7 linked regions of the Sus scrofa genome follow. The protein of the gene in region 5 interacts with the protein of the main gene of each other region in a pairwise test. Links are inferred from orthologs where the notes say so. Each region holds a gene or a part of one and is shown on either strand. Other genes may lie near its edges. The genes, in order: GKAP1, APBB1IP, P4HA3, CCDC136, NDN, ZBTB1 and SSX2IP.

What was found.
Region 1: the proteins of NDN (region 5) and GKAP1 interact in a two-hybrid assay, tested with the Homo sapiens proteins (2 studies listed by BioGRID and IntAct). The link is inferred for Sus scrofa from reciprocal best matches to the Homo sapiens genes NDN and GKAP1.
Region 2: the proteins of NDN (region 5) and APBB1IP interact in a two-hybrid assay, tested with the Homo sapiens proteins (2 studies listed by BioGRID and IntAct). The link is inferred for Sus scrofa from reciprocal best matches to the Homo sapiens genes NDN and APBB1IP.
Region 3: the proteins of NDN (region 5) and P4HA3 interact in a two-hybrid assay, tested with the Homo sapiens proteins (2 studies listed by BioGRID). The link is inferred for Sus scrofa from reciprocal best matches to the Homo sapiens genes NDN and P4HA3.
Region 4: the proteins of NDN (region 5) and CCDC136 interact in a two-hybrid assay, tested with the Homo sapiens proteins (2 studies listed by BioGRID). The link is inferred for Sus scrofa from reciprocal best matches to the Homo sapiens genes NDN and CCDC136.
Region 6: the proteins of NDN (region 5) and ZBTB1 interact in a two-hybrid assay, tested with the Homo sapiens proteins (2 studies listed by BioGRID and IntAct). The link is inferred for Sus scrofa from reciprocal best matches to the Homo sapiens genes NDN and ZBTB1.
Region 7: the proteins of NDN (region 5) and SSX2IP interact in a two-hybrid assay, tested with the Homo sapiens proteins (2 studies listed by BioGRID). The link is inferred for Sus scrofa from reciprocal best matches to the Homo sapiens genes NDN and SSX2IP.

What each region holds. Positions count from the first base shown.
Region 1 is NC_010452.4:31,140,576-31,145,000, reverse strand, and holds the start of GKAP1 (G kinase-anchoring protein 1), read right to left. Parts: upstream 3,203-4,425; 5' UTR 2,955-3,202; intron 1,018-2,954; exon of another isoform or gene 898-1,017; intron 1-897. UniProt on the Homo sapiens protein: Regulates insulin-dependent IRS1 tyrosine phosphorylation in adipocytes by modulating the availability of IRS1 to IR tyrosine kinase. Its association with IRS1 is required for insulin-induced translocation of SLC2A4 to the cell membrane.
Region 2 is NC_010452.4:49,239,756-49,244,274, forward strand, and holds the start of APBB1IP (amyloid beta A4 precursor protein-binding family B member 1-interacting protein), read right to left. Parts: upstream 3,110-4,519; 5' UTR 2,634-3,109; intron 1-2,633. UniProt on the Homo sapiens protein: Appears to function in the signal transduction from Ras activation to actin cytoskeletal remodeling. Suppresses insulin-induced promoter activities through AP1 and SRE. Mediates Rap1-induced adhesion.
Region 3 is NC_010451.4:8,664,858-8,669,555, forward strand, and holds the start of P4HA3 (prolyl 4-hydroxylase subunit alpha-3), read right to left. Parts: upstream 2,907-4,698; 5' UTR 2,859-2,906; coding exon 2,659-2,858; intron 1-2,658. UniProt on the Homo sapiens protein: Catalyzes the post-translational formation of 4-hydroxyproline in -Xaa-Pro-Gly- sequences in collagens and other proteins.
Region 4 is NC_010460.4:19,820,527-19,825,213, forward strand, and holds the start of CCDC136 (coiled-coil domain-containing protein 136), read right to left. Parts: upstream 3,212-4,687; 5' UTR 3,166-3,211; coding exon 3,108-3,165; intron 3,042-3,107; exon of another isoform or gene 2,769-3,041; intron 2,338-2,768; coding exon 2,230-2,337; intron 658-2,229; coding exon 406-657; intron 314-405; coding exon 239-313; intron 1-238. UniProt on the Homo sapiens protein: May play a role in acrosome formation in spermatogenesis and in fertilization.
Region 5 is NC_010443.5:142,411,463-142,414,517, reverse strand, and holds NDN (necdin), read right to left. Parts: upstream 1,831-3,055; coding exon 853-1,830; downstream 1-852. UniProt on the Homo sapiens protein: Growth suppressor that facilitates the entry of the cell into cell cycle arrest.
Region 6 is NC_010449.5:88,573,931-88,578,616, reverse strand, and holds the start of ZBTB1 (zinc finger and BTB domain-containing protein 1), read right to left. Parts: upstream 3,055-4,686; 5' UTR 1,912-3,054; intron 1-1,911. Other genes in the region: ZBTB25 (zinc finger and BTB domain-containing protein 25), read left to right, coding at 4,035-4,216.
Region 7 is NC_010448.4:129,086,920-129,090,864, reverse strand, and holds part of SSX2IP (afadin- and alpha-actinin-binding protein), read right to left. Parts: intron 2,927-3,945; coding exon 2,816-2,926; intron 537-2,815; coding exon 401-536; intron 1-400. UniProt on the Homo sapiens protein: Belongs to an adhesion system, which plays a role in the organization of homotypic, interneuronal and heterotypic cell-cell adherens junctions (AJs).

The sequences.
Region 1 (4,425 bases), on a different chromosome or scaffold from region 5:
TACTTAAAAAGCTAATCCATTTTCAAACATTTGAGCATATGTTACAGCTTTCTATAGCAACAGTCCTTCCTCAGATTTGGTACTGGAGCAAAACAAACTACTTACAATTTCCTGACCACACATTTAGTTGTTCGTATATTTCTGCTGTGTCTTTTGCCTAAAACGCCCTATCTTCCATTTACAATTTGTATTTGTTCCTCAAAATCCTGCTGAGGTGCCAACATTTCTGTAAAGCTTTCTCTAACCTGCTTGTTGAGTTAATCATTCTCTCCTCTGTGATATTTCTGTGCTTTATATTTACTTTTATTACTGAATAGAGTTCATTAAAATGATCTGTTTGCTGCTGTGCCTAGCCCCTCATAATTCTGATTTCAACATCCTGAAAGACAAAGGCTTTTTCTTTCCACCCCAAATAAAACCTGGCACAAAAAAGGATACATTTATTGTATTTGGTTTTTTAGAAGGATTATTGAAATTGCCCAAGTATACAACTATCTATGCGTTCAAAGACGTGCTCTCAAGTAGAATGGACAGCAAAATAAAATGCAAAGTGTGATAGACATAATGCCGAATCCCTAGAAGCAAGTGTGCATTAACAATGATTATTAGCAGTTTAAAGTTGTTTTACTCTAAGTGTCATTCTAACTGATCACCACAATTAATTGCGTTTAGGAAGCATAATTGGTTTTAAAATATTGATTAAAAAGAGTTAGGATACAGGAGCTTAAGCAAACTACGTTTTAAAATGAACAGCCTCAACTGCCAGCAGCAGGATTTCTAAACAGCTGATCCTCTTGGTCTCTTCTACCAAGGTTCTGAGGTTCACTGCCACTATGATGTCATCCCTCTAGACTATAATCACTCTAAGGTCAAGAAAGATGGTAGCAGTAGCCATACCTCATTCCTGGGAATCACAATTAGGGCATTTCAAAACTGATTATGTATAAAATCCTCAATCAAGAACAACCCAATATATCCTCTTTCTTCCATTAAGCCTATCAACCAGTAAGCCTATGAAAAAAAAGAAATGAATATAATGTAGATGCTTCTCTGAAATATAGTTTAGATTCAAAAAAAAAAAAAGCCATAAAATGAAATGGCACTGAGTATGAGTGACTTCACATCTGGTGAAAAAAATTTTCATTGTATTATGTCAAATAACACAACTAAATATCTTTCACGTTGGCTTCTTATATCTTTTTTTTCTTTTTCTTTTTAGGGCTGCACCTGCTGCAAATGGACAGTCCCAGCTAGGGGTGGAATTGGAGCTACAGCTGCTGGCCTAGACCACAGCCACAGCAACACCAGAACCAAGCCGCATCTGCAGCCAACACCATAGCTCACAGCAACAGTGGATCCTTAACCCACTGAGTAAGACTAGTGGTCTAACCCCCGTCCTCACAGATACTAGTTTCCCCTGAGCCACCATGAGAACTCCACTTTGACTTCTTATAAACTAAGGTTCACAACCAAGTGCCAAGTGCATATCAAAAACTTTGCTCTCAACACACTCGCTGTAAACAAATCACATAAATTTAATGTGTATGCCCTAAATTTCATGTCTTTCTTCATAGTTAAATATTGCTTCCCCACTCCAATCTGCAGCACCTAATTTCTGTGGGCTGAAAAACCGAGCAAAAAGCACAAGCTGGTACTGTGTGAGGACCTAAGGGATTCTCCCATGAATAAAGCACACATATTTTCCTTTGCCCCAGTGATCTCTCAAGTCAACTTCTGGGTTTCTGCTCTTAGTCCACAGAGCAAAGCCACCTGACTGATACCTTAAGTTTGTTGTAACCATTTATGACAAGAATATCTTCCATTAATAAGGATTTGCTAATGCCATCTAATGCCGTATATAAGCCTGCTGAGAAAAAAACATCTGTATTTCCACAGATTAAAGATTTTAATATTTTTGATTGCCATAAAGTTTCTTTAATATTCTTATAGCTGAAAGTCAAATTTATTAAACTGGTGATTCAAGTTACAGTCACAAGCATGTTTACGATATAAAGAAACTGACAATACTGAACAGTGCCGAAAAAATTTCACTGGCTTTTCAGGAGAGGAAAGACACTCTTTCAGTACTGCTTCTAATGAAAGCTGTAGCAGGTAGGCAACTGTAAAATCTGGCTAAGGTAAGAATGGAAAACTCTAAAAAGAAAGTGGAGAGAAAATTTAATAAGTCATTTTTATCCTTGTTGGCTATCTACCAAGCACCCTAAGTGCTAGAGATGACAAAAATTCTGGAATACTGCTTGTTCCAAACAATAATTGCAAAAAAAACCAACAAAATTCAACACCCTTCTTTTTTAGTTTTCAACAGCTAGCGTGGAGGAGGAGCACTTTATTCAAAAAGTAATTCATGAATGAAATTCACTCATTCATGAATGAAAGCCAAATTTCGCCCATAGGCTGTTAACCGATGCTCCAAAACTTATTCGCGCAAAGTACACAGAGAAAGAAACGGGGCTGGGCAAGACTTAACCCGGGCAAAGAAACGGCTTCAAAACCTGAAAGGGAGAGAACGGCGAGTCAGGTCGTCGCTCCAGAAATTTCCGAGCGCCTGCCTCCCCCGGAGGAAGACCGCTCCCCGCGACGGGGAGGGGACGGCGGCACCTGTCAACCGGCGGCCCCGCCACTGCGGTCGCCCCCGACCCCGGCCCCCGCGGGGTCTCGGGAGGCGCAGGCACGGCCCGGGGCCTGGGGTCTCCGCCGGTCCCTCTCCTTCGTCCCTGAGCCCGCCGCCGAGCGTCGCGGCCGCGGCCCTTCCCGAGGAGCGGCCCTCCCGCGCACTCTGCCCGGCAGCTGTGGCCAGCGGGGCCCGCCGCCCCCCAGGCCAAGTCCCCTACCGCTGAGCCCCGGGCGCACAGAGTGGCGCGGCTGAGCGACCGCCACCGCCTCAGAGGCGCCCGAGCGGACCCAGCGAGGCGGCCCGCCCTCCGCGTACTCACCGGGCCTCCCCAGCCGCCGGTTCGGCCCTCCTCTCCCTCCTCCCCCTGCCGCCGCCGCTCCGCGACTCCCGTGGCGGCCGCACTGGGCGTTGGGACCGGGCTGGGTCACGTGTCGGGGGGCAGAGATGGGCTCGCGGCGGGCGAGCGCCGGGCACTAACGGGCCCCGTGGCGCCGGACCGGGCGGACCACGGCGGGGAGCGCGGCTGCGGGCTGCGGTGAGGGGCGGGGAGAGCGCGGCCGCGAGCTGAGGGCGGGAGGGAAGTCCCGGCGGAGGGGGCGGCGTGAGAGCCGCGGGGCGGGGCGGGGGCGGGGCCTGGCGCGTCTGCCGCCGCGCGCGGGGGTTTGTTTATTTTCTCGGTTGGTTGCGGCGCTGGCGCGTGGGTAGAGGCTCTCCGGTGACGTGAGCGCCCGGAGTTGGGGGAAAGGGCCAGAACCACCTGCTGGAGAAGGGGAGCTACGGGGGCCGGGCAGGGTCCAAACGTCTCACGTAGGCGGCGACGCCGCGGTCTTCGAGGGGTTACCGGGAAGAGAAGGGCTTTCCCGGAGCGGATGGAAGGAGGGAGGCCTCCCGAGAGAATAGGACTCCAGGCCGTTCACCAGCAGTTCGGCGGCTTCACCTGCATCGCGGAGAGCAGTTAGAGAGCCCCTGGGGTAGAGAAGGGTCGGTGGAATGTGGGGGCCACTCGGGGCTCGACCCCCTGTTAGTGAAGTAAGGATGGTCCTCCAGATCAAGGTTTGAATAGAAAGACTGCATCAGATCTCTATAAGGAAAATAACGAATATTGCTCAGTTTTCTGTAGAGTTACACTTTCACGTTATCTCCCTTGGTGTTCCATCAGGTAGTAGGACTCTCACTTTACAAGCCTAGCTGAGTGACTTACTCAAAGCCTCGCAGCTAATAAATGGCAGAGCTGGAACCCAGCTGTCTTGACTTCAAATTCTGTGCTGCTTACGGTTACATCACATTATCTCCCCAAATCACTTTGATTCAACTTTTAGTAGGCGCCCCCATAGGTGAGACACTGCAGGGTTACAGAGAGGAGTTGAAGATGCTGTCCTTGTCTTCAGAGTAAGGAATAAAACACGTATAATGAGAGAAAAGCCAGGATAGGTACCACGTGAAAAATACAGGGAGTACTGCAGAAGATTACTGAACTGCTCAGACCGGTCTAGCGGATTAGGAAAGAAAGGCAGCAAGGAGGCTGCCCTGGGGATTGACCTTGAAGGGGATGAGGATGGTTTTACAGCAAGAAAAGAGACCATGAGAAAATGTATGGGAGTTCCTCGCGGTTAACCAACTGGACTAGTATCCGTAAGGACGTGTGTTCGATCTCTGGCCTCGCTCAGTGAGTTAAGGATCCAGCGGTGCCGTGAGCTGTGGTGTAGGTCTCAGACGCAGCTCGGATCCTGCATCACTGTGGCTGTGATGTAGGCTGGCGGCTACAGCTCCGATTCGACCCCTAGTCTGGG
Region 2 (4,519 bases), on a different chromosome or scaffold from region 5:
GGTTTAAAGAAGTTCAAAGTGGTATTATCATGCAGATGACATGATACTATACATAGAAAATCCTAAAGACTCCACATGAAAACCACCAGAACTGATAAATGAATTCAGCAAGATAGAAGATTAACATACAGAAATCGGTTGCCAAGTGCACTTCTTTACACTTACAGTGAAATATCAGAAAGAGAATGTAAACAAATAATCCCTCTAAAATCACATTAAAAAAAAAAAAAAAGGCATCTTAGAAATTAACCTTACCAAGGAGGTGAAAGACATATGCCGAGAACTACAAAACATTTTTAATAAAGGAAATTGAAGCTGGTCAAAGAAACAGAAAAATAACCCATGCTCCTGAATTAGAAGAATTAATATTGTTAAAACAGTCATACTACCCAAAGCAACCTACAGATTTAATGCAATTCCTATCAAGTTACCCATGACATTTCTCACATAACTAGAACTAATAATCCTAAAATTTATGTGGAACCATAAAAGCCCCAGAACTGCTAAAGCAAGCCTCAGTAAACAGAACAAAGCAGGAGGCTTAACCCTCCCAAACTTCATACAATACTACAAAGCTACATCAATCAAAGTGGCATATCAAACACAGACACTTATGGCAACAAATATTATAAGTAGCTCATTCTTTTTTTTAATATATTTAAATTTATTTTTGGTTTTTGGCTGCACCTGCAGCATGCAGAAGTTCCCGGGCCAGGGAATCAAACCCACACCATGGCAGTGACAATGCCACATCCTTAACGTACTGAGTCACCAGGGAACTCCCACAGCTCATTCCTATAATATAAAAATATCTAGAACTTTTTATTTACAAGTGAAAAAAGGGCAAAAATAGCAGGTGATTGGTATACATTCTCAGGATTTTTCTCATACAAAATATTTAATGGATAACAGATAACCTAGTAAATACTGTGCTTAAGATTTAAAGTAATCCATATTACAAAGTTACATTTCTTGAGATGTAATAATTAAAGAATTCTGAAATCTAGTATCTGCCTAACCAAGCTTGGGCACATGAACTCCTTACAAAGTTTTTCCATAGAATGAAAATTTGCCATTTTACATATACACCAGAAATTGACTTAAAAATAAGGAACATTTTAGAAACACAAGGCCTCAAAATATTTCAGAATCTAACAATGTCTGTTATTATTATTATTTTCTCCATTCTCCTTTGTTACTGATCAGCAATTTTAACTTCGTCAGCATTCCAGACAGGACAAATTCAAAGAATTATGGCAATTCCTCAATTGCTATTTTAATGTCAGACAGAAGCAGGCAATGATCTTTACTGATAAGTTACTTCAGGTCCAGAGAGATATGAAGCAACCTAATCAAGCTTGTCCTTTCTAAAGGCAGATACGGAACAGGACTCAAGTCTTCCAAATACCCAAAGACACAAATATTAGTAATAGTATGAAAATTACTAAGTATTAATAGTCTGAGGATGACATTAAATTTCTTAAACCTTTCACAACACGTTGAGCAAACAGGAAATACCATCCGGAAGACATTACAGAAGTTTCATAGTAGATCCTCTGATATTTTGCTAGCCAGCTTTATTGCCCATGTGCCATCCTAGCATTTCAGTGAGACAGGAGAGAACAGTGCCACTGGAGGTTTATTCAAAGGGACAACCTCGGCTCAGAGGCCTAGACTTTAAAATTAATAGTAGCTAGCATACCTACCTTTATTTAAACCACATTAGACCACCAGAAATCATAACTTGCGGAGTAATAAACTCATGAGCTTTTACTTTATGTTATTTTCCTGTTACTCCACCTCTCCTAAAATGATCACATTAAAAGTTATTTTTGAACTGCTCTGCCGTGAGTGGCTCTAGGAAAACACATGTTTAGCGTTCCACAGCGGTATGAATGATAAGAAATACCTTCCCAGCAGGAAAATAAAAGGTGGACTGGGCAAGGTTTTCAGGGACAGTCCCCTCATCCTCCTGGATATAATGACATCCAGTTAGTTTGCTTCACGCTAGAAAAGAGCAGTCTGGATATTCATTCCAAGCCAAATTACAAAACTTGTGCCCGGGGTCCAAATCTTTCTTTTATCTTATTTTAAAATGAAAAGGCAATAATTCGGAGGAAAAATTATTTGTGAAGAGGAGGAACAGTTGTCTGGAAGTTTTCAAGGAAGGAAGTACTCTAAGATGCATCAGACTGAAATCACTATCAAATTCTCACACGACTTGAATTCACCCTACAGCGCCCTGAAAGGCCCCCAGAAATTCCTTCAGCGTCGGTGAGACTGGGGTTCCCGGACCTGCTTAACAGGCCAGGGTGCGGGCCAGTTCCCCGTTTGACCTTGTAGCAATTTTCTGGGCAGGAAATCAGTCAAATCTGGTGAAAAGGAACGCGGGGAAGGCGAGCCCTAGCTCCAACCCCCCGCGGAGCTCGGTCAAGTACAGGGATGAGGGATCCTCACAGCGGAGTCCGAGGGCCCACCGCCCTCGGGAGCCAAGCGGGGAGCGCGCGTTCACAGCGCCAGCACCGAGAGCTGGGTCGGGCCTCGGACCCGACGGGCCGAGCTCCTGGTCGGACGATAGCCCCTCGTTTCCCGGTGTAGCTCCCGGTATCCCGGGGCTGGCGGGCGCCGCTTACCTCGACGGCTGTGCACGGCGGCGCGGGGACTTGGTGGGGTCTCGGCGGGGACTTGCGGGCGCGGCGGGGAGCGGCCGGCGTCGGGGCGGCGGCCGGGAAGGCGACGCTGTGCACTCTGTAGCGCCCGGGCTCGGGTCTGCGGCAGGGGGAGGAAGTGGTGTCAGCCCTGCCCTTCTCACACAGCGCGCAGACGTGGGGCGCTGGCTAGCCTCTCGCATCCAGGGGCAAGGAGGACGCAGGGTTAGAGACACACCCACGCACGTGGACTAAGGCGCCTCTAGCTCTAGTACGCGGCTTCTTGCGACTCAGCGGGTCCGGGTCTCATTTCGTCTTACCCCGCCCACACCCTCCCGAAGCAAACAATTTGGTTTTACTTCTGGGAGAAGTTGCACCTGCCTCTCTCATCCTTCCCCTACCTGGGCCACGCGCCCCCCTATCTTGGGACTGGCCGCTTCGTTGTCGCTTGGATATATGGGTGGCTAAGGGCTTGGGGGCCCGATGATGATTCCACAAAAGCTTGAGAAGTCGATTTTTTTTTTTTTTTTTTTTTTTTTGCAACGGTCTTCCTAAGTGTTGACTTCAGCCCTTTCTGAGCTTCCTCTTTCAGGCGGGTTATGCAAGGCCCGCTTCCCGGCCACGCACTGGCTGCCCTTTGGGGTCGTGGGAGCCAGAGTGGAGCAGCCTTCGTGGGAGGGGAGGCGCCAAGGCCGGGGTTCCTCGGTCTCCACTGGTGCCTGGGTGTGGAAGGGCGCGACCCGCAGAGGAAAGGCGGTTTTTCAACTATCCTATCAGATTGGCAAACCTTCGCCCCAAAGCTTAACGACACTCAGTTGGTGGGCGAGGATGTGGCCTCTCCCATATTGCTGGTGGAAGTTCAAAATGGTCCAGACACCGTGGAGGGGACATTATTGGTAGCAACTATTTAATTTACCTCAGCAATGACTTTTTTTTTTTTTTTTTTGGTAACGTGGGCAGCATGAGGAAGTTCCTGGGCCAGAAACTGCACCTGAGTTACAACAGTGATTGGAGCCACAGCAGTGACAACACTGGATCCTTAACTTTCCAGGCCACCAGGGAACTCCCGCAATGACCTTTGAGACAGCAATGCGACTTCTAAGATTGTATTTTGGAGATACAGTGTTGAAAAAGGAATAATCCACATGCACCTGGCTATTTTTAGTTAGTCGATTTGTAATCTCAAAGGACTAACTAGAAATACACCCTCACCCCCTGACTTTTGGGAGTGGAGTCTCCAGATGGAAAGGGGGGAGATTTGAAAACGTGGAAGTTGAAATCAGTTAGATTTGGAAATGTGGTTAATTCACCTCTTCTTCCCTCCTACAGATGTGTCTTCAAGGGCTTAAATGTGGGGAAGCCGGTGGAGACCTAATGGCATAAATTAGACCCATAAATTAATTAGGTAACTCAAGATAGTTCAGTCATTGAATAGATAGTCCAGCATGAACTCTTCTCAGAATAATAAAAACTGTAAAGAAGAAAGCAATTCCTGCTTTCATGGAAGGTACATTCTAGTTGGGAGAAAATAGACAATATAGAAATTAATATTTAACATGTCAGGCAATGTAGGCATTTTGAGGGAAATTAAAAAGGGAAAAATAGAAAGTGACGGGAGTGGGGATGAAGATGCTGCATTAATTAGGGTCATCAAGGAAGATCTGGCTCTATCTGACGCTTGAGCCAGACCTAAATGCTTGAGAAATTAATCTATGTGGATTTTTGGATGAGCATATTTCAGGCAAAAGGAAGAGCACATTCAAAGACCTTGAGTTAGGAGGGCTCTTGAGATGTTGGAAAAACAGCAAGGAATGGACTCTCCTGGCTGCGGTAGGGACGTTGCTCTGAGGGATGGGAAGCTGTTGGGAGGT
Region 3 (4,698 bases), on a different chromosome or scaffold from region 5:
CTTTGTCTTGGTTCTTCTGAGATATTCTGAATGCTTGATTCCTAGCACAGAAATAATTGCTGCTGATACTACTTTTAAATCTTGATGGTTTTAAAACTGCAACAACAAAAAAAGCCAGGGGTTAACTATCTAAATATGTGTGTGAGTGTGTGTAACTAGTATATGTGATACTACATTAGTATACAAATATATACATTACAACTAGTATAATTTTTATTCATTAACTTGTAGTAAAGGGTAGTAGTTTCAACATCAAAAATATTTAATTTCTAAATTCAGAAACTCAAAGAAGAATATCAAGTTAGGGCCTTAGAAATAACATCTCAAGTTACATTAGATCGCCAGATTGGCAATATAGGAAAGTGAGCAGTAATTCCCAAAATGCTTTCTTCAAAAAGCAAACATTTCACCAGGTTTTGGAGCACTGACTAGAGAACAGTCAGTCTCTAAAATATCAAACTAAACTTTCTGAAATTTAATGTTCATAAGTCATATGAGAAGAGAGTCTGGAATTTTTCTGATTCTTTTTTATTGTCTAAGCTTTCAGAGCCCTAGTTACTGCTTACAGCCAAAAGCGGGGTCTAGTTTCACCAGCCAGTCTTAAAATAAACGACAACCATAAAGAGCTAACATTTGTTGAGCAATTACTACATTCCTTTACATGGTATATAATCCTTCCAACAAGCCTATGAGGGAAAGCACCATTTTTATCACTGTTTTACAGATTAGGAAATACTTTAAAAAGAGGTAAAGGAACTTGCCCAAGGTCAGAGCCAAGCATTCAAACAGACGTCTGTTAAATTCCTGAAGCCAGACTCTTAACCAATATGTACTCCAGCTGCTCATAAAACTCAGTGGCTCTGGGGCTTGGTGACGTCCTGGCGTCTTGTATAGAGCAAGCAGTATGGATATCACAGCTTGAGAGAACCAGTCAAAGGAGCTGTGTCCTAGACCTGGATTTGCCACCTATTCGATTTTGTAATCTTGGATAAGGTACTATACTTTTCTGACATTTTAAATGATTTCTCATTTATTTAAGAGAGTAATACAAACCTATTTCAAAGCACCGTGTTTGAGAGAAAATCAAAGGAGATAGGTTTGTGCAAGACCTCCCACTGTGACAAAGCTGTGACAACAATGGCAAGACAGTAAAGGAGACCAGTTGGCAGAAGGGGCACCCTGGCCAGTCCTTCTGATCAAAGCTTTGAGCTCTCTCTTCTGAGATGTGTGACATCAGGATTCCAACCACCATCTCCATCTAAGCCACACGAATAAAGAGATGAGTGGTATGCGAACAAGCAGATGGGCAGCAGGGAGCGTGATGACATCTCGAACCAAAGAGAAGAGGCTGTTCTATTTCTACCAATGAAACTGGACTCCAACAATCTGGGCTAAGAACAAAATGAAATCGTTTATAAACATGGGCCTACAGAACACTAGGCAACTATACTACTCCAAAGAGTAGAATTATTCAAGAATTGTTGAAATTACCATCATTTATCATGACACACATACATATACTAAATATATATGTGTATCATCACACTTTTCCAAATTAACAGATTTACATATGCATATAACTGCTTATATGCATGCTGCATCCTTAAGAGCTTGTACCAGATTACATCGCCATTCAGTCACCCTTGGGTAACAAACAAGCTCTCACACTTCCTCACACAAACTGATTCTCTCCTACATGGGTCCTCCACACAGCGCTCACTCATACACGCGGTATCTTATCTGATCGTTTATCTTTCACTAACACTGACAGAGTCATACACGGTCACAGTGCCTCAGCGTTCCAAGTCCTACAGTAGTTGGTCGGTTGTATAGCAAAACAGTACTGGCTAAGCATCTGCTGGTGTGTACACCCTGCATCCGCTAGTATCAAGTAGATTATTGCCCAGTGTTTTCCGGGTGTCAAATACTTTCATACACATAATAGCATCTCAGTGACAGTATTTAAAGAGTTCTTAACATGTGCAAAGAGGAAGGAGAGCTGAAAGCAAAGGGAAGGACAGAGATCTCATTTTAATAATCATGATATTACAGACTCCAAGCTCCTAGAGGGCAAGGCTGGGTGTTGTTCACCAGTCCCTCCCCAGTGCCCAAAACAGTGGCTGGCTCAGAGTAGGCACTCAAACATGTGCTGAACGACCTGATGAACACGAAGTGTTATTCACGTAGTGACCCAGACAACTGCCAGCATCTTTCACAGGCACAGTATGACAGCCATAGAGTCCTACCCACCCAGTCCCAATAACACATAAATCTCACACACGGTCCAGAATGTCACCTATAGCAAGTATCAGTTCCTTGGGTCACGTGGTCAGCACGTGTGGCTACAATGTCACCATACACTCTCCATTTCACTCTCGCAGTGTTGCTGTGTCTTTGTGACACAGCTCGGGAGCCCACACAGCTTGAGCCAGTACCCTGTGAGGTCCTACTTCCTCTTGGAGTCACCCCCCACCCCCCGGGCCCCTTCCCACAGTGTATCAACTTGGCTGTGTTATGTTGGATGGGGGTGTCACCGAGTGTATGGAGTCTGAAGTCCTACCGAGTGTGACAGTGAACCTAAGAGTGACTCCCCCCACCGCGCCCCGTGGCACAGTGTCTCCCCACTGCCCCATTCAGACTCCACCCCAGTGCCCTCACCTGGTCAAATCCCGCAGCCGCGCCTCCTCCCCGCGCAGGTAGCGCCGCAGCAGTCCCAGCAGCTGGCGCTCTGGCGCCAGGGCGCGCGCCACACTGGTGAGCGCTGAGAACGTGTCCCCGCGGGTCGCGACCCCCGCTGCGTCCCCTGCCCTGAGCGCCAGCACCGCCAGCAGCGCTGCCAGCCCTGCCGCAGGGCCCATCGCTGGGCTCGCGCGCTGGTCCCCTCAGACGGTCCGCCCGGCCCTGCGCCCGCCTCTCCGCCCCGCCCCGGCCCCGCCCCCGACTTCGCGTTCTGACCCCTCCCCTCGCGCTCCACGTCCCACCTTCCAGCCCCTTAGCGCTTCAGACTCTGCGGGGGCTGCCGGTGGTCCGCTGCCCTCCACTAAACCACAGCTCTAGAAAAGCATTTCCACTGTGCCTATTTCACACTTGGGGAAACTGAGGCGGAGGGTGTGGTGAGGAATGAATTCACCGATTTATGGCTGTACAATGCCATCCCCAAATATTTACCCCTGTGGATCAAGCAGCGGAAATACAGCAACGGCATAGGATTCTGATGGAGAAGTCAGGAGAGCAAATGTATGGTCACAGCAGTGCGGGTGGAGCTGTGACGGACCAAGGGGAAGAAAGCACTTCATACAGGACTTGACCTCTGAACCATCTTGAAGGATGAACAGAATTTTGACCAGAGAGAGAGAGAGACGGCCATTAGGATCAGTGCCTGACAAATCTAGAACCTTTAAAATAAAAAACTCTAGGGTTCTGGGTCAGTGCTCTACACAACATACCCATAGGCATTTAAGCAAATAAAAATATTATTATATCCTACTACTGTTCTTTCCTCCCCTAGGCAATATTCATTCATTCATTTAACAAACATTTAGCATCTCTTGTACTGTGCTGAGGACAGAGAGATATAGCAGATCCAACAGTGGACTCATAAGGAGAGACAGAGGTGCAAACAAATAACCATAAAGTGCTGTGGGAGTAACCAGCGGCTGTGCAGGGAGCCATGACAACCCTGAGGAGGGAGCCCATTCCCATGCAGAGACTTGAGAGGGCTCCACAGAGGACGCCTTGTGCAGAGGTCCAAAAGGGTGAAAAGGAACTGCCTGCAAGACGACAGGCAGGGAGGGATTGGAGAAGGTATTTATGTATATCAAGGTTTGGAGCTGGGAAATAGTTTGAGTTGCAGAAATGATGAAAAGTTCCTTGCAGCTGGACCTGTCAGACTGTGAAGGGGCTTTGCATGTCATATTAAGAAATTCAGACTGTCCGCTACGAGAATCCAATGGAAGTTTTAAAGGTGGCATTCATGGACATCCAGCAACTGAGCAAGGAGAAGGAATAAAGTTCCAGCCATGCAGGCCCAGCATGAGACAGCTCTGACTGGCAATACTAGCTCCAGCCCACTTGCCACACTGGTCAAGCTTTGCCAAGCCTCCTGACCTCCTCCTCTGCCCTTTCCTGCTTCGTGTCCCTTTCACAGATGTTGATCCCCAATGAAGACCTTGCACCTTAAATCCATCTCAGCATCTCCTTCTGGAGACCCTCATCTGTAATAGCAACACAATCCACGTGGCAGCTAGTAAGCAGGAACCTGAACCTTGGTACCGTAGATCCGGGTATCCTATTCTTAATCGCTACCAGAGGCAAATGGACCATAAAGCTTTCGAGGCTTAAGCGTCAAGGCCTCTGACTTGCACAAACCCTTTCCAAAGCCCTCAGGATTGAGGAATGGTGGAGCCCAACAAGGTGGTCGCCCTGTTACATGTATTTGTAAAATTAGCAAAATAAAGCTGTTTTAACCACAATTGGTTAAACTGTCTCTTCCCACTCTGACACCCTCTCCATCACACTTCCCCTCGTAGCACTTCCCCTCGTAACACCTCCCCTATGGTGGGCATGCTGGACTGGCCAAGGGTCTGAGTTTGCAACTGAGTAGTCATCTCAGCCTGCTTTCTGGTTAGGGTTGTAGTAGGAAGAATACTGGCCCCCCAAAGAGCCCACGTCTTAATTCCCCAAACCTGTGGCTATGAC
Region 4 (4,687 bases), on a different chromosome or scaffold from region 5:
ATTCGACCCCTAGCCTGGGACCCTCCATATGCCACGGGTATGGCCCTAAAAAAGCAAAAAATAAAATAAAATAAAAATTAATAAATAAAGAGGAGGCTGGAGAGATAGGAGCAGGGCAAGCACAGTAGAAGAAAATGAGGGGAACGTACTGATTTCGGTCCTATTGGTCTGCGTGCCTCCGCCAAGCCCTCAAGACAAAAGTACTTGGCGGGCCCTCCAGTCTGAGTGCAGGATTTACCTTGGAGCTGCTGGATCTGCTTGGTGAACACCTCTGCCTGCTGGGCGCTGGCCAGCCGCTCATCCTCCAGGAGCCCTGCAGTGAAGGGGGAGCTGGCGTCAGGCCTGGGATCCAGGGAGCACAGAGCCTTTGGGCCCCGGCCCTCGGGGTCCGTCACAGGCACTCACCCTGCAGCTCCAGCGAGTCATCCTCATGCTGCCCTGCCAGTTCCCGGGTCTCCTCCAGCTCTGCCACCAGCTGCAGCACCTGAGCCCTCAGCTCCTCCAGTTCGGTCTCCGTGAGGCTCAGGCCCCGGTGCTTACTGAGGGACAAGGAGCCCCCGCTTCCTCCCTTTTGCACCTGATCATCCTCTTCTTCCCCCTCTTCTTCCTCTTCCTCCTCCTCTTCCTCCTCGTAGAGGGCTGGGAGTAACACTTCCCCTAGGAAAGACCCCCCACCCCCAGCGAGTAAGAGCCAGCTTCCTGTCCTTGGTCCTTCCAGGGCCCTCTAGCATGCTGTCCCAGGGCAGAGATGGTATCATAGTGCCACCTGGTGTCCCCCAAGGAGCCTCTGGGCAGGACCTGCACACGGGACGAGTCCTCAGGTGTGAGGGTCGGGGTTGGAGGTAGCCCATCCCCCTCCCGGGCCCTTCCTGGACCAGTGCTGCACCTGGTGGCCTCCTAGTACTGCCTTTGGGCACACTGAGCAGCCAAGGGCCCGGCTGAGCCCCATGAGGCTCGCACAAGGATAGCTGCTTCCTCCAGCCTCGTCTCTGGGTAGTCAAGAAAGAGTCAGACACCGGGTGTGTCTTTAAGCCCAACAGGACAAGAATTACAGTTTGGGGGTTTGTACTAAGTTTACCAAGGATCCAGGTGGCTTGTGAGAAATTAGCCCTTCCATAATAAGAAAGCGTTGCCTGTCAGTCAGTAGAGAAAGAGAACAGCCAAAGAGAATCATCTGAAATGATTCTAAATGCTTTTCTGGACAAAGACGGGGCCCCTTTCAAATACATTCTATCGAATAGCCCTTTGGAAATTTTCTGCCAGGTCCACCTTTCTTTTCTGCTGTGTCAGGAGGTCTCCCCTCCTCTCCCTGAGTGTTCTGAGGCCCCTTCCCCTGCTGACCATAAGGCAGTTTTGGGGGGGAAGTCAAGGATTCTCCTCGTGAATAAAAGAAAGCCTGCCATTTTAATGCATTAAGAAATGGGGGTGTGCTGGTCCCCAGCCTCTGGCTGGTGAGCAACCCCTCTCCTTTGCTGCAATGCAGTTCCTCTCAATAGCAAAATCTTGCCTGGATGGTAAGAGCTTGCTTTGTTTTAAAATTCTCAATCTCTGGTCCATCTTTGTCTAATAATCACAGCCTAAGGTTTATCTGGGACCCCTTGTCTCATCCGTCCCTCTTGGAGCGTGGACGTGTGTATAGGGACCTGGGGACCCTACACAGAAAGTCCTGGAAATAGGACCAGCATCCTTCTAGGGGCCTCATTTAGGCAGCAAGTGCCAAGCTGTGTGGGTGTCGAGGGTGAGATGCGCGTTGGGAGCTTGGCCTTCTCGCCGGCCCCTCTCCCAGGCTCCCTCTTTCAGGCAGTAAGATAACCTAGAGAACCGAAGTCACAAGGCTTCCATTTGAAGTTAGTGGTGACACCAGAAAGACAATTCACATGCTCACTCCTCTGGCTTTTCAAAATAAGAGACAGCTTGGGATCTGGGTCGGGAGGCAGCGAGAACAAACCCCCTGCTGCACAGCTGCTTCAAATCTCTGTCCAAGGAGGCCTCTTTCTCTCTCTGGCAGCTCCCTGGGGACACACAACTTGGTTAGCTGGTGGTTAGGACCCCAAAGGGATGTACCCTGAACTTTCCCCAAAGCCCGAGCCCTGAGGAGGGTTGGAGGGGGCTGAGCTGAACTTGGGGAAGGGCTGTGTCCTGGCTCAGAGTTCTGGGGGTCAGAGGGAGGAAGGAGGAGAGGGAAGCTGGACGAGGTGGAGGGAAAGAAAGCTTTTGGGGAAAACTCACCCTCCATGGCTTGCATTCCACGCCTTTCCAGGGACCCCCAGCGTTGGCCTTTCTTCCTCTCACAACCGTCAGACACCTCGTAGGAGCCTAAAGTGGTCACTGTGGGTCCTGTAAGCAGGGAGAGAGGGGGCACTGTGGGATGCTAGGGGCGGCTGGGGGCTGGGGTGCAGCGGGGAGGGGAGGGGACATGCCTCCTAGCCCTTTGGAGCCCTGGGGTTTTTCATCCCAGTGGAAGTACTTGGCTCAGTCTGCCCAGGGCTGCGACTCTCCGCCCCAGGTGGCCCCTCAAGCGGGCCTGCGGGGACACCGCCCTGCACTGCCCAGCTTCTCTGCCCCCCAGTCCGTGCTCCTCTCCCTTGCACAGACAGAAAGGGCGTGTGTGTGTCTCTTTAGCCCAGAGGGGACAGGCAAGGATGGAAGAGGGCGGGAGCCAGCAAAGAGAAGAGGCTCAAAGGGTGAGGTGGAAGGGGAAGGGGTGAGGGGACGCGTGCGGGAAGGGGGTCTGGACTGGGGCCGCTGCCGTCCATTCCAGCTCTCACTGGACTTCGTCCTCCCCACTCCGCCCCGCGCTCCGAAGCCTTCAGGGTCCGAGCAGGTGCGGGGTCTGGAGCCCCCAAGGCAAAAAGCACCGTCAGGCTGGAGAGACCAGATGGAGTGGGCTCAGGGGAGGGACTGCCAGGGATGATGCGGCCGGTGTGGGGAAGAGCCAGCCCGGAAAGATGGAGCCGGAGCCCGGGCTGGGGGCAGGATGGAGGAGGAAGACTTAGGACGGAGAGGTGGGGAGCAGCGGAGGGGGAGAGGACCTGGGGGTCTGGAGGGAGGAGAGATGGAGAAGAGGAAGGAGCGGCGGTGGCGAAGTGAGGGAGGGGCGCTCTGACCTGGACCCGGGCAGCTCCAGCCCGCGGCGCCCGCGCCGGCCCCGGCGCCCGCCTCCATGGCCGCTCGCGCCGCCGCCGCCGCCCGGAGCAGCCGCCGCCGCCGCCGCCGCCAGGCCGGGGACCGGAGCCGGGTGCGCAGGGGAAGGAAGGCCGGGCCGGCCGAGGGGGCGGGGCCTGGCCAGGCCACCTGACGCCGCCGCCGCCGCCGCCCGGAAGCCGGCCCTGCACCCCAGCTCCCGGACCCGGTGCAAGCGCGTCGCCAGACACGCCCCGAGGCCCGCGCCGAGGGAGCGACCGGCTCCCCTGGTCTGGCGGTGGGTCCTGCCGGGAGGCGGCTGCGTGGGGGCACCCCTCTGCGCCAAGTGCCAGGGCCCGGTCCTGCTCGGCGGTGGGGAAGGAAAAGCAAGCACCAGGAGAGCCAAATCCTCCTGGCCTGTTTCCTCCAAACGCGCGGATGCTCACACGCCCCTTGCTCCCCACGGCTGAGCGGCACCCTCCACCTGGGCAGTCAGCGCAGACCCTCCGGCCGCCAGCCTCAGCCTCAGGGCTGCTCCAGGGCTGGAGGAGGGAAACCGAAGCCAGGATACTTCAACTGCGGGCCTTGATCTCTCTGTTGGCCTTGCGCCCTCCGCCAAGCCACAAGCAGGGACCTTCTTAGAAGGGGCCGCTCCGGGACCCCACGCAGCCCTTAGTGTCGAAGACCTTTCTCCATTGCCTGCCTTCCCACCGGGCCCCAGGCCCGGTGGTCTGCAAACCACAACCCCTACTCACCTAGCCTCTGCAGCTGTTTAGAGTGGGCACTGCCGATTTTCACTCTCATAGAAGGGAGATGTGAAAGCCCAGATAGCTTATTTCACTCAACCGCTCCTTCAAGGAACTTCTTCCAAGTGCCAGATTTTGGCGAACCAATTGGGCTCACGCCTCTGCAGGTCTCAGCCAGGAAAGAAATGGGTACACTTGGGAACCCGGAGGTTCCAGCACATCTGGAAAATCACTGGGAGATTCCTAAACCAGGGACAGTCCCTTCTCTTGCGCATCCACTTACAAGGTCATGGGCATATACTGTCTGGATCACGCCCACCGGCTCCCAAGTTCACAAGCCCTCCATATTCCTCAGGAGAGAAGCCCTTCTTTGCCTCGACATCCCCTACGTACCCTTAAACACTCAGCTGGGAGTCATCTCTTGGCAGCCATTCCCGACTCACCACCCAGCCAAGCCATTAGATGCTCCTGCTGTGCTCCGACCCCTCCCCCTTCCCTCTAAGCAGCACCAGTCACTCTAGGTTGTCAAGGTCATGTTCTGACTTTCCTGTCAGCCCAGTGTTTGGAAGACCAGGAAATTGCCTTAGTCGTTTTTGTATCTCCAGTATCTAAATCATTGACACAGAATAAATGAGTGAAGTTAAATCTCCTAATTAATGCTCTGCTTATCATTTAACGTATGATCCCACACTTAAGGTGTTCAGTGTTGCCTATTAACAATAGTATTGGAGTTCCCGTCGTGGCGCAGTGGAAAGGAATCCGGCTAGGACCCATAAGGTTGTGGGTTCAATCTCTGGGCTCGCTCAGTGGGTTAAGGA
Region 5 (3,055 bases):
ATGTAGAAAATGCAAGAAACTAAATATGAACAGTTACTATTTCTATGTGATGTGACTATGAACTTTTCTGTTTTTCATACTTTTCTCTTTGTCAAATTTTTGAAATGAACATGTGAGTTACATTTTGCAAAAAAAAAAACTATACACCTCACACATATGAGTCACGATTTCCCCACCCTATGAGATGAAATATATCTGTACATTGTGTAAAATATCTCATTCCCAACCCATACTACTTTGTTAAAAAGATAAAAGTACACTTTTCCATAAAAATGACTGTATCACAAGAATCTTTAATGTTTAAAGTTTACTCATGGTGGGGTTGTTTTTGTGTTTAGTAAACTGTGCCAAGTGTCCATACTGAGCCCCTTTAAGTCCACATCACCACACTCCAGACAGATGTTTCCTGTGCCCAGCAAGATCACAGAGAGAGAGGTCTTGACTTTTCTCTTGGTTAGACCAGCTTTACTGGTGAGTTCGTCCAAACTCTCTAGTACCTGTCTACCCCCATACACATCATCAGTCCCATGTAAAAGAATAAGATGGAAAATGTCTCAATGTATTTCATAAGTTTAGCACGTCTCTGGTACAAAAAATTCAAGAAAGGTAGCACAAAAGCGAAAGCACCAACTGAGCTTACTTATAAACAAACATGCATGAATCCTACACACTACCTAATTATTACTGAAATGAATACAACATTGCATTAAAAGGTATAAAAGCACTGTACTGAAAACGTAAAAGTTACACGTGAAATACTGCACTGTAAATCCTGAATACTCTAATGTCCCACCCCCACCCCTCCACCACCCTGGTGAGGGTCAGAAACCATCAATCTGCCTCCAGACCTTGCTAGTCCTCGGAGACACTGTTGCGGGGGCAGTGGGCAGTGGGGTTGGCCTCCCGCAGGGCTCTGGCCTCTTCCAGAGCTTCCCTGTAGCGGGAAGGCCAGGCCTGGGGGTCTTTCTTAAAGACCCTGGCCAGGAACTCCATGATTTGCATCTTGGTGATTTCACGGCTGGCACGGGAGCCCCAGAAGAACTCATACTCAGGGGGCTCGACGTGGGGGACGCGCTGGTACTTCAGGTAGTTCTGCTGTACGAACTCCTCAGTGATAAGCTTTCTCACATCTCCAAAGGTGGAGTGCTTCTTCCAGGGCCTCAGCCCCAGGATGCGCAGCACGTTCCACACAGCACTCTCACGGGCACCGCGACCCTTTACGTAGATGAGGCTCAGGATCATCAGCAGGAGGCCTGTCATAGGCATGCGGTTGCTCAGAGCAACCCTGTCCAGCTCCTCAGGCGCCAGAGCTTTGACCAGCGAGAACTCCATGGTGTGCAGGCTGGTCAGCCTCAGGTGCAGCCCGAACACTCGGGCGAGGATGAGGCTGGTGCGCCTCAGGATGCTTCTGCACCACTTCTTGTAACTGCCGATGACATCTTTCACCATGTCTGGGAACCAGATGATCATCCTTTTCTGGTCCTTGACCAGCACGTACCACATGAGCTCATGTGCCTTCTGCACCAGCTGGGCCGGGGCCGGCGGCGCTGGGCTGGGCTGGGCTGTGCTCCGGGCCTGGTGGGCGCGGCCTTCCTCCGCGGCCTGCTGTAGAGCCTTTGGGTCTCCCTCTTCGCTCAGGGCCTGGGGCGGCGGCGAGGCCAGAGGGGCGTCGGGTGGGCCTACAGGAGGGATCTCTGGCCCTGCGAGGGTCGCGGCCTGGGACGCAGGCGGAGAGGGCCCCCCGGCCACCCCAGGGCTGCTGTGCACCTCGGAGTGGGAGGCATCGGCTGCAAAGTTGGGGTCACACACGTCCTTACTTTGTTCGGACATGTTTGCTCCGTCTGGCAAGGGCTCGGCCGCTGCGTCCAGGAGCTCTTCGACTCTGCGCTCCCTCGGTGGACTCCTGGAGAGGAAGTGCGCGTTGCTGCGCGCGGCGCCTTCCGCAGCGGCCGGGCGGGGCGGGGCGGCGGCGGGACAGGCTAGTGCGCCTGCGCATCCGTGGTCTGTGGGGGCCCTGCCGGCTGGCGGTAGGGGCGGGGCGCCTGGAGGGCTGGGGTGTATTGAGGTCCCAAAGGGGTAGGGGGCCTAGTGGAATACTGGCCTCATGACCCACAGTCGTCCAGTTTGGGCTAAGGAGGCGGTCCTGGGGCCGGGGGGAGGAGCGACATGGGTGAGCACTGGACAAGGAGCAAGTTTAAGAGGAAAGATGGAAACTTAAGCTTCCAAGATGCTGAAGCTGAATTTCTTAGGAAATGTTCAATTGGGTATATGTAGAATCAAGTTAGATGTGAGTTTCAGAGAAAGGCCCAGGTTGGCACATAAGCTTGGGTTTTGGATAACAAGTGTGAGAATTTAAACTGACAGAACAATCAGGGTCACCCAAGAAAATGTGTCAACTCTGAAAAAGATGCGGGATATCAGAATCATGAAAGATAGCAATAAAAATTGATTGATTCACTGCGAGTTCCCATTGTGATACAGCGGAAAGGAATCTGACTAGTATCCATGAGGATGCAGGTTCAATCCTGCCCTTGCTCAGTAGGTTAAGGATCTGATGTTGACATGAACTATGGTGTAGGTTGCAGACAGGGCTTGGATCCAGTGTTGCTGTGGCTGTAGTGTCAGCTGGCAGCCGTAGCTCCAATTCTACCCGTAGCCTGCTATGGGGAAAAAAAAAAAAAAAAAAAAAAAAAAAAAAAGATTTCCTGACTGCCAAGTCCAGGGGGTTATGAAGGAAAAATGCAGAATGTAGTCAATACATGTACAACTGAAACTTTCTTGAAGACAATGTACTAATGATACTGTTAGGTGCTTGAATGGTCATTGATTTTGGTTTTTCTACTTCCCTTGGGTAATTTTGATGTAATTTTAATTTTTTGATTAGGATCTCATCACACAAAGATTGCTGTATTTATTAGCACAGACTAGTATGATGTCTTTCTACTTGTTTGTCCAGGAAGGACCCTAATTCCCCTTATGACTGATGTAGCCTTCACGGGTGTGTTCGTGTAGACCCCACCTCTGCGCTTTCACACAAACTGACTGGTTCCAGAAA
Region 6 (4,686 bases), on a different chromosome or scaffold from region 5:
ATATTATGGCTTAAAAGTAAAAATCTATGGAAAATTTTTCCACATTTTCATCCCAGATGGTTTCATGCCCTTTGGGCCAGAAGCTTAATAGCAAAAGCTTAGCACTTTTCTGGATGGAGGGAGGAGGCCTAAAAGCAGGCACTTGTTTTCTCATGCATGTTAGAATGGGTGGGCTGCAAGGAACACAGAGACACCCTTAAAGAGCTTCATGAACTAATTCTTCCCCAGAGCCTGGCAAAAGAGGAGAATAGATAAACAGCACAAAAAGTTAGCAGGGTTAAGGCAAAATCAAACACAAGGTCAAGAGCAAGTGGCTGATATGGTGCTCTGCCCTGCTAAGGTCCTGGTTAAATATGGTTTCTCTTTTCTCTGACAGTGATGCACCAGGGCTCCCCACTTCCCCCAAATTAGGCCATGTTGGGTAGGAAGAATAGAAGGCTTCAGGTAAGACTGCTCCAATGAGTTACTCTATACCATGAAAATCTGGTCATAAAAGACAATCTGCTTTAAAATGAGTATAAGATGTTGACTCAAGGTTCCACTCACAGATTGTATTATTTTATTAATCTTTGGAAAAACATTTTACCTTCACTATGCTTCAATTTTCTTTTACAACGAAGAAGCCCCCACCTAGTTTCCAAAGCTATTCAGTTATCATTGAGACTTTATTAGATATAAGTAATTCAAAAGGAAAATTTTGAGGTTCTGGTGGCCAGCCATCATTCAAGTTTCTTCTTTTTGTATCCCAATTCTCCTCATCGTATCTTTTTGCAATGACAAAGTTTCATAATTTCAAAGGAGAAGGTGATGATTAGTTTGGAGTTATCATGAAAACTGCATCCTTCACCAAATCTGCTCCAGAGTGCCTTGAACTTCAGCTCAAGAAATTGATTCCAAGTCTCAAAAAGCCTGGGACCACTTCTTGGGTTCGAGTGTCAAAGGGAAGCGTTCCTGGCATAGTTTTTCTGCCTGGAAATACACTTGGCCAATAAAGAACCTGCTGGTATCTACCACGTTGAATCTCAATTTAGGACTATTATTACACAACAGACAAATGCCCTACTGTTCCCAGAAAACATCAAGGACTTCCACCAACATCTCCTTGACGCTCCCAATTTGGAAAAATGTCCTGTCAACCCTGCAGACAGATCACGTAGATGTGCTGCTTAGGTAGGAAGGGAGACTCGGAGGATAGCTGAGCTCAGACAGAAGCCTACATATTTTAGTGGTAACGACTCTCGATTTGCATCCAACCCATTTACCGAAAACTTCTAGTGAGCTCCCAACGCTGGAAGCGAAAGCACTTTTCTCCCAGGAAACATATCTTTCCACTGAAAATTCCCCAACTCGAGACCTACCACTTTTTACTGAACAAAAAGCGTGTGTGCCGGCGGGGTGGGGGTGGGGGGAAAGAGCGTGGCAAGAATTTGCACGGCTCTTATGCCTCCTCCCTCGGAGCGCGCCCAAGTCTGCGGCCTCGGGCTCCGGGACACTTCCCCTCCCACCCGCCGAGAAGCCGCGGCTGTAAGTTGAGAGAAGCGGGCTCTGGGCACGTCAATCAACCGGGTCCTCCCGCCTCCCGTCTACACCTCCCCCCCCCCCCCCCTCAAAAAATAAAGGCAGAGAAAGAAAGGAAAAAGAAGGTAACTAATTTGGGAACTAGTCTCCGTGGGCTTCGCCTCCGACCCAGGGAGGCCGCACGTCCCCGACCAGACGCGCCGGAGGGCGGCGGGATCAAGCAGGCGGCCCGGCAACCGCCTGTCGCCGGGTCCTCGCAGCGCGTCCGCCGCGCTCTGGCTCCCCGCACGGGTCGGCGCCGCTCCGGCCCCGCACTCCGTCAAGCTCGCGGCCCGTCACCCTCCCGCCCGGGCCAAAGTTGCGCAAATAGCCCCACAACTGGCAAATACTCACCGGCCGCAGCAGGATCCGGGGCTGCGGAAATTTTAGGGAGTTTAAGGCAAATCAGCCACAGGAAAGGCGGGCGGAGACGAAGGGGCCGCGAGCTGCAGTGGCGGCGACGCGCGGCGCTCGGGCTGGGCTGCGCGGAGAGGCTCTGGCTCTGCCAGGGACTGTGCTGCAACAAAGGACTTCCGCTGCCGCACAGCCGCGCCTGCTGCACCGCACTGAGCCGGCCCCGCTTACGCGGCGACTCCGGGTCTGCCCACCAGTTCGCTGCGGCGTCCGCCAGCCTTCCCCTCCCTCTCGACCGCCCACCCACTCCGCCGCTGGCTGCTAGGGGCACCCGCGGTCGCCTGTTTGTTGCAACAAGTTTCTGCGTCGGGTTCCGAGGAGGCTGGCGCAACCCGCACCGCGGGGGCCGGCGCGGCGACAGCCTGACCACCCCTCTTGCCCCTCTCCCTAGGGTAGGCTTGGGACCTCCTCCTCCTCCTCCTGTTTGCACAGCTGGATGGGACTGGGCTCCTCCCGACTCCCCAAGGGCAGGATGCTGCTTTCCCACTCTGTCCAGATGTCAGACCCCGGCCCCATAGGGCCCAGCAGCTGGGCCCTCCCTCACGGTATGTCCCTGACGTTCTGGGGGCGCCAGCACCCTTGCTCTGTCCCGTGCGCGGCCAGCTAGTTCAGGGTCGCCCATTGCCCGCGCTCCCCCCACTCCTGCCTTCCGTGGGCCTGTCCGCCTCTGGCCTTGAGTCACTTCCCCCGCCATGCCCAACCCCGCCCAGCCCGCCTCCCCTCCCAGGCTCCCGTGGTTCAGCTTCCCTGGCCCCGCGCCCTCACCCCTCAGCCCGCGAGTATGCGGGCGCATCCTTCCCTGCCCCCACCCCGAACTGAGGGGTGCCCGTGCTTTTGCACACCCCAGGGAAAGTCCCCGGGTCACGCGGTTTTGTGTGGGGAGCCTGTGACGCTCAGGCTTCGCTCCACGCTTCCGCCTACAGAGTCACGACTAGCGACCGTGGCAGAGGCACCTAGAACGCGGGCCGACCCCCGCCAAGCCACTAGAGCGGGCGAGCAGGCGGGCGCGCACGTACGCACGCACGCACGCACACTCCGGCCCCAGCGCCCCAAGTTCCCCGGCTACCAGGCGCGCGGTCACGTGGACCCATCGCGGGGCTGTTGGCGCGGGAAGCCGCGCGAGAACGAACCGCGGGGTGCGTGAGCCGGCGTGTCCGCGTGACGTACGCGGCGCGGGAGCCGCCCCTCCCGCACGGAGGAGTCGGCCAGCAGCCCGCCCGCCGCGGCGGCCTCTGGGTAAGCAACGCGGCCCGGCCCTTGTGGGCTGCCCCGGGCTCAGTCCCTCCCGCCGCGAGCCGCTTTGGGCGGCGGCCTGCAGCTGCGTCGGTCGCGGGACAGATGCAAGTAGCTGGGGAGGGGGGTGTTTTTGGTCTCTTTGAGATGTCAGGGCACCGAAGGAAAATGGCAACCACGAGTGAGAGCTGGGCCAAGGATATCCAGAGCGGTCCTTCGCTGCCCGCAGCACGCAGCTGTTAGGGCCTGACGCAGGCCGGGGGCGTGCGGGGGCGCAGCAACGACTCCGAGCTCTTATAGCTGCGGGCCAGACTGCGACCCCGCCCGGAAAGCCCCGACCCGCCTGCGGCATTCGCCAGGCAGCGGCGACCCCGGCAGCTCTCTCAAGTGGGCGGTTCTCCAGGTGCCACCTGCCAGACGCTGCAGCTACTGGCCTCCTTCTCCCTCCTCATCCCCTTTTGGGATTAACCCTGCAGGAAGTTGCCTCCCCCCCTCCCCTCATTTATCCTTCTTTTTTCACATTATATTACTTTTATCCTAAGCAAATCCAGCCCCCCCCATCTTGCTCCATCTCTCACTGCCTTCCCTAGCACTTATTATTTGGGGAAAATCAAGCTGTTGTCAAGCTGCTTAGGCTGTGCACTGTGCCTGGAAACTAACAGCTGCTAACTTGCTTCATATATTAACGCTCCTGTTTCCCCTCAATGGCATGCGTTCTCTTGAGAGTCAAGTCATTTTGGCAGCGCTTTTGATTCCCACAGGATTTTGTCATGTGCGTGAAGTACACTTTAGAGTCACAAATTTTAAAGCTGAAAGGAGCCTGATAGAAAATGCACTTCATCTCTCATTTTACGGAACACCAGGCGGAAAGACTGTGTAGCTTGATCAAAGCCCTATACCTCTTCAGTAACTGGACTCCAAGGCTCTCTCTAGATGCCTTAGTCATTGCACTCCACCACACCAGGAGTGCGGTGCAGTTTAACCCACTCACTGTAGAGACGATCTGCCAGAGGTGATTATACTTGATTTAATTCCGGTTATTGAGAAATTAAACTTGGCCAGTGTGTGATGGCTCTGGTATTTTAAGGAATGGAGTTGGCACTATTTCTAGGTGGAATAGAGTGCTTGTTAATGTACTTTGAGCTCAAAGCTCGTCCCTCTCCTGCCACGAAAAAAATCCAGCACTATTCTTGCCGAGGATAACAAAGACTAGCAGTTGCTTCCGTGGGTAAAGGCACCAAAGACCCCTTTAGCCATCTGGATATGCTTTAATTAAGGGTAAACTATTAGTCCATTGTCAGACATCAGTTCCTTAATAGGGAATGGAACACTGATGGGATAGGAATCGGAATAGATGAGTTCTGATGGGTAGGAGGTTAACAGGAAGTGTGGAACATCGCAGGGTTGGTCAGCAAGAAAAGAGGACTTTCTACACCTTTTGCCCAACCCTGCCCTGAATGGCTTATTTGGAGGTAGTAGAGA
Region 7 (3,945 bases), on a different chromosome or scaffold from region 5:
ACTAATTTAAAAGAACTCAAACTGACATGAATGGTTTGGCTTGAGGGACAATTTTATAAACTCAAAAATCATACTTCTGACACTCAAATCATATTGCTATGAAAGGTTAGGGTATCCTCTTGCTTAGCTTTTCTCTATGGATTAATCCTATACCTGTCACATTAAAAAAAAGTATGCAATTCCTATATGCAAGTAATGGAGCAAAGCAAAATTATTATTTTTTAACTAACCAGTTGTCTCAATTTCTAGTTTATATGGATATAGACCATCTAAAATTATTTGTATAGAGCATGAAAAGGACATTTCATGAGTTATTGAGCTCAATCCCTCCACATTTATTTCTTTGTGTAATACTAGCTTATTTATTCCCTTTGCACTATCTTAGCCAGCTGCTTCTTACCTATTTTTTTATCCTTCTTGTTCATAACAAGTTGATGTAGACGTTCCTTTAGTTTATTATATTCACGCTCTTTTCTCTTCATGTCATGATTATATTGAGTAGCTCGACTTGCAATGATATTTTGTAATTTTTGCACCTAGAAAAAAGGCATTTTATATTGAATTAGTCCCTTGAGAATTCACTGGTAAACCCAGTTCCAATGTACAAATTCAAAAGAGAAAGTAAAGTCCTAGCTTTCAGCTCCTCATGTAATAGTTTAAAAGTTCTAGGATTATTCTTCCTTCTCCATAACCACTGGAAATCACTCTTTAAAATATCACTAAATGAGGAGTTGCTGCTGTGGTGCAGTGAGTAGGGAGTCCAGCTGCAGCAGCTCAGGTCACTGCAAAAGTACACGTTTGCAGCTGTGGCATGGGTCATGGCTGCAGCTTGGATTCTGTCCCTGGTAGGGAACTTTCATGTGCCTCAGGTGCAGCCATAAAGTAAGAAAGTAAAGTAAATAAATATCATTAAATGAAGCACATAAAGTTTTTATTTTTTAATTCTGAAATTTTCAGAGCTGCTAGCTTTCTAAATTATCTTCTACACCTTTCACCTTACATACAGATTCTGATCACTTAGAAACCACAAACTCTTACAAAGTAGTAATGTGATTAAAGCTTCATCTGAAACAAGCAGACTTCATCTGATCATCTGTAAGGACCTTATTTTACTTCAGACATGAATCGTTTCATCCTTTATCAATCTGTGACAAGGTCAATTAGTCATGGCACATGGAAGCAAGTAAACAGGTTCATTTTCCTCTGATCAAAAATAGTTTTCTGGGGAGTTCCCATTGTGGTGCAGTGGAAATGTATCCAACTAGTGTCCATAAGGATGCAGGTTTGATCCCAGACCTTGCTCAGTGGGTTAAGGGTCTGGCGTTGCCATGAGCTGTGGTGTAGGTTGCAGATTCGGCTCGGATCCCATGTTGCTATGGATGTGGTGTAGGCCAGCAACTGCAGCTCCAATTCGACCCCCAGCCTGCGAACTTCCATATGCCAGGGGTGACGCCCTAAATAAATAAATAAATAAATAATTTTCAAATTAGACTGAGACCAACAGCATACAGAATCCATTTCAGATATTTGCTGAGTACCTATTCTATGCTAGGTACTACTGGTCAATGTTTATATCTATTATGGCTTCTCAGGCAGTGTTGGATAGGAAGTAAGTTCTACTCTACATAGCCACTCTTTGCAACATACACAACAATGAAAACAAATGTTACAGTTTTACAGTTATGTGGTCAGAAAACTGCAGAGCAATAAAAACAATGGTTTCTATTTACATAAATTAAAAGATAATTCCAAAAGCATTATCTATATAGATCTGAATAATACTAAGTAAACACCAAAGCAAATATTAGAATTACAATGTCTTTAGCCAAGAAATGAAAATTTTTTTTTTTGGTTTTTAGGGCTGCAACCATGGCATATGGAAGTTCCCAGGCTAGGGGTTGAATTGGAGCTGTAGCTACCAGCCTACAGCACAGCCATGCATGTCTGTGACCTTCACCACAGCTTATGGCAAGGACAGATCCCTGACCCAGTGAATGAGGCCAGGAATCGAAGCCACATCCTCATGGATACTAGTTAGGTTCATTACCACTGAGCCACAACAGGAACTCCAAAATGAGATTTTTTTTTTTAATGTGAGTTGCTTTTTTTAAACAATAATTTGTGTGCCCATTTAGTCAAATAATTGCCTGACTGGATGAACAATAACATTTAAGACAGTGTAAGAAGAGGCATGCTAGACATAAGAACAGATGTGACAGAGAATAAAATACCTGCATTGAAAGCAGACCCTTACATCTAACAAAAAAGGGACAGTTCAAGTGGATACAGGATGGATGGTATAGAACACTGGCTGTCACCAGCTATGGACTAATACACTAAGCCAAATGGACCCCCCCAACCATGTCATGGAGAGAGTTCCTGACCTCTCAGTTAAATATGATACAATACTGGGAGTTCCCGTCATGGCGCAGCGGAAAGGAATCCGACTAGAAACCATTAGGTTTGGGGTTCGATCCCTGACCTCGCTCAGTGGGTTAAGGATCTGGTGTTGCCATAAGCTGTGGTGTAGGTCGCAGATGCAGCTTGGATCTGGCATTGCTGTGGCTGTGGTGCAGGCTGGCAGCTGTAGCTCTGATTGGATCCCTCGCCTGGGAACCTCCATATGCCCGCAGGTGCAGCCCTAAAAAGCAAAAAAGAAAAAAGATACAACACTGTACACAGAAGTCCAGCATCTCCATTTGACACAGGATAAATAAATGGTTCGCTCTTAAAGTGAAGTGACCATTATGATCACCTCAAATTACACACACATAAAAATTCACTGAAATTTTATCCATAATAACTGACAACTTACCTCGTCTTTCTCATTTTTCAGTAGCTGATGCAAATTCCTATTCTTGCACTGTAACTGTCTATCTCTTTCCTGAAGCCCAATCACTTCTCTCCTGGAGGTTTCCAGTTGTTCCTAAAACATTCATATGCAATTTTGATTAGTAAAAAGTCATACACACTAGGATTTGTTACCTAAAATTGAAGTTTAGCAGCACACGAAATGTTTATTTAAAACATTGTAAAGTTTGACACTACAGAGTTGCAAAATTTAACTTTGGATATAAAATTTTATTTCATTTAAATACCATTTTTTTTCTTTTTTGTGTCTTTTTAGGGCCGCACTCGTGGCATATGGAGTTCCCAGGCTAGTGGTCCAATCGGAGTTGTAGCCTCCTGCCTACGCCAGAGCCACAGCAACACAGAATCCGAGCCGAGTCTGTGACCTACAGCACAGCTCACGGCAACGCTGGATCCTTAACCCACCGAGCAAGGACAGGGATTGAACCCGCATCCTCATGGATGCGAGTCAGGTTGGTTGACCACTGAGCCACAACGGGAACTCCTTTAAACACCAATTTTTAATGTATGCACAAAAGACCTTCAGAGTGGATTCCTTGAAAGACTTTTCAACTATTCCAGTGATGTGGCCCCTGAACATTTTTATAATTTCTTTTTACTACTTTTTAACACTTCCACAGCACATTCTGTGAAAGAGCCAACAATGATTTGGAGTTCAGTCTGAAGAAGACAGGCGACCATGCAAAGCCGACCACTTCAGGTCAAAAAGGACGGGACCTCAGCATGACATCAGTTCTGCCTTGCAAGGGGTAAACTCTCAAGATTTCTGCTAGAGATCAATGGCAGAATCAATGGACTCAACATGGGATTAAGGTGCTCATTTCAGTGCATTCCACACACTTCTGGAGGAACTGGGCCAAATTCTGCATGAAGCTCCTGGAGTAATCTTTTAAAATTCTCTCACCTTTATAAAATAAAAAGCCTCTCAAGTTATAGCGTTAACTGATCACAAACAACAACCAACACAATCTCTGTAACAATGGATCTCAAGAAGATACAGAAAATTTAGAAACATAACTTAGATAACTCCTAGGCTGTAAGAATTTTTTGCACCCTCTTCTCTGGAGCATTTAA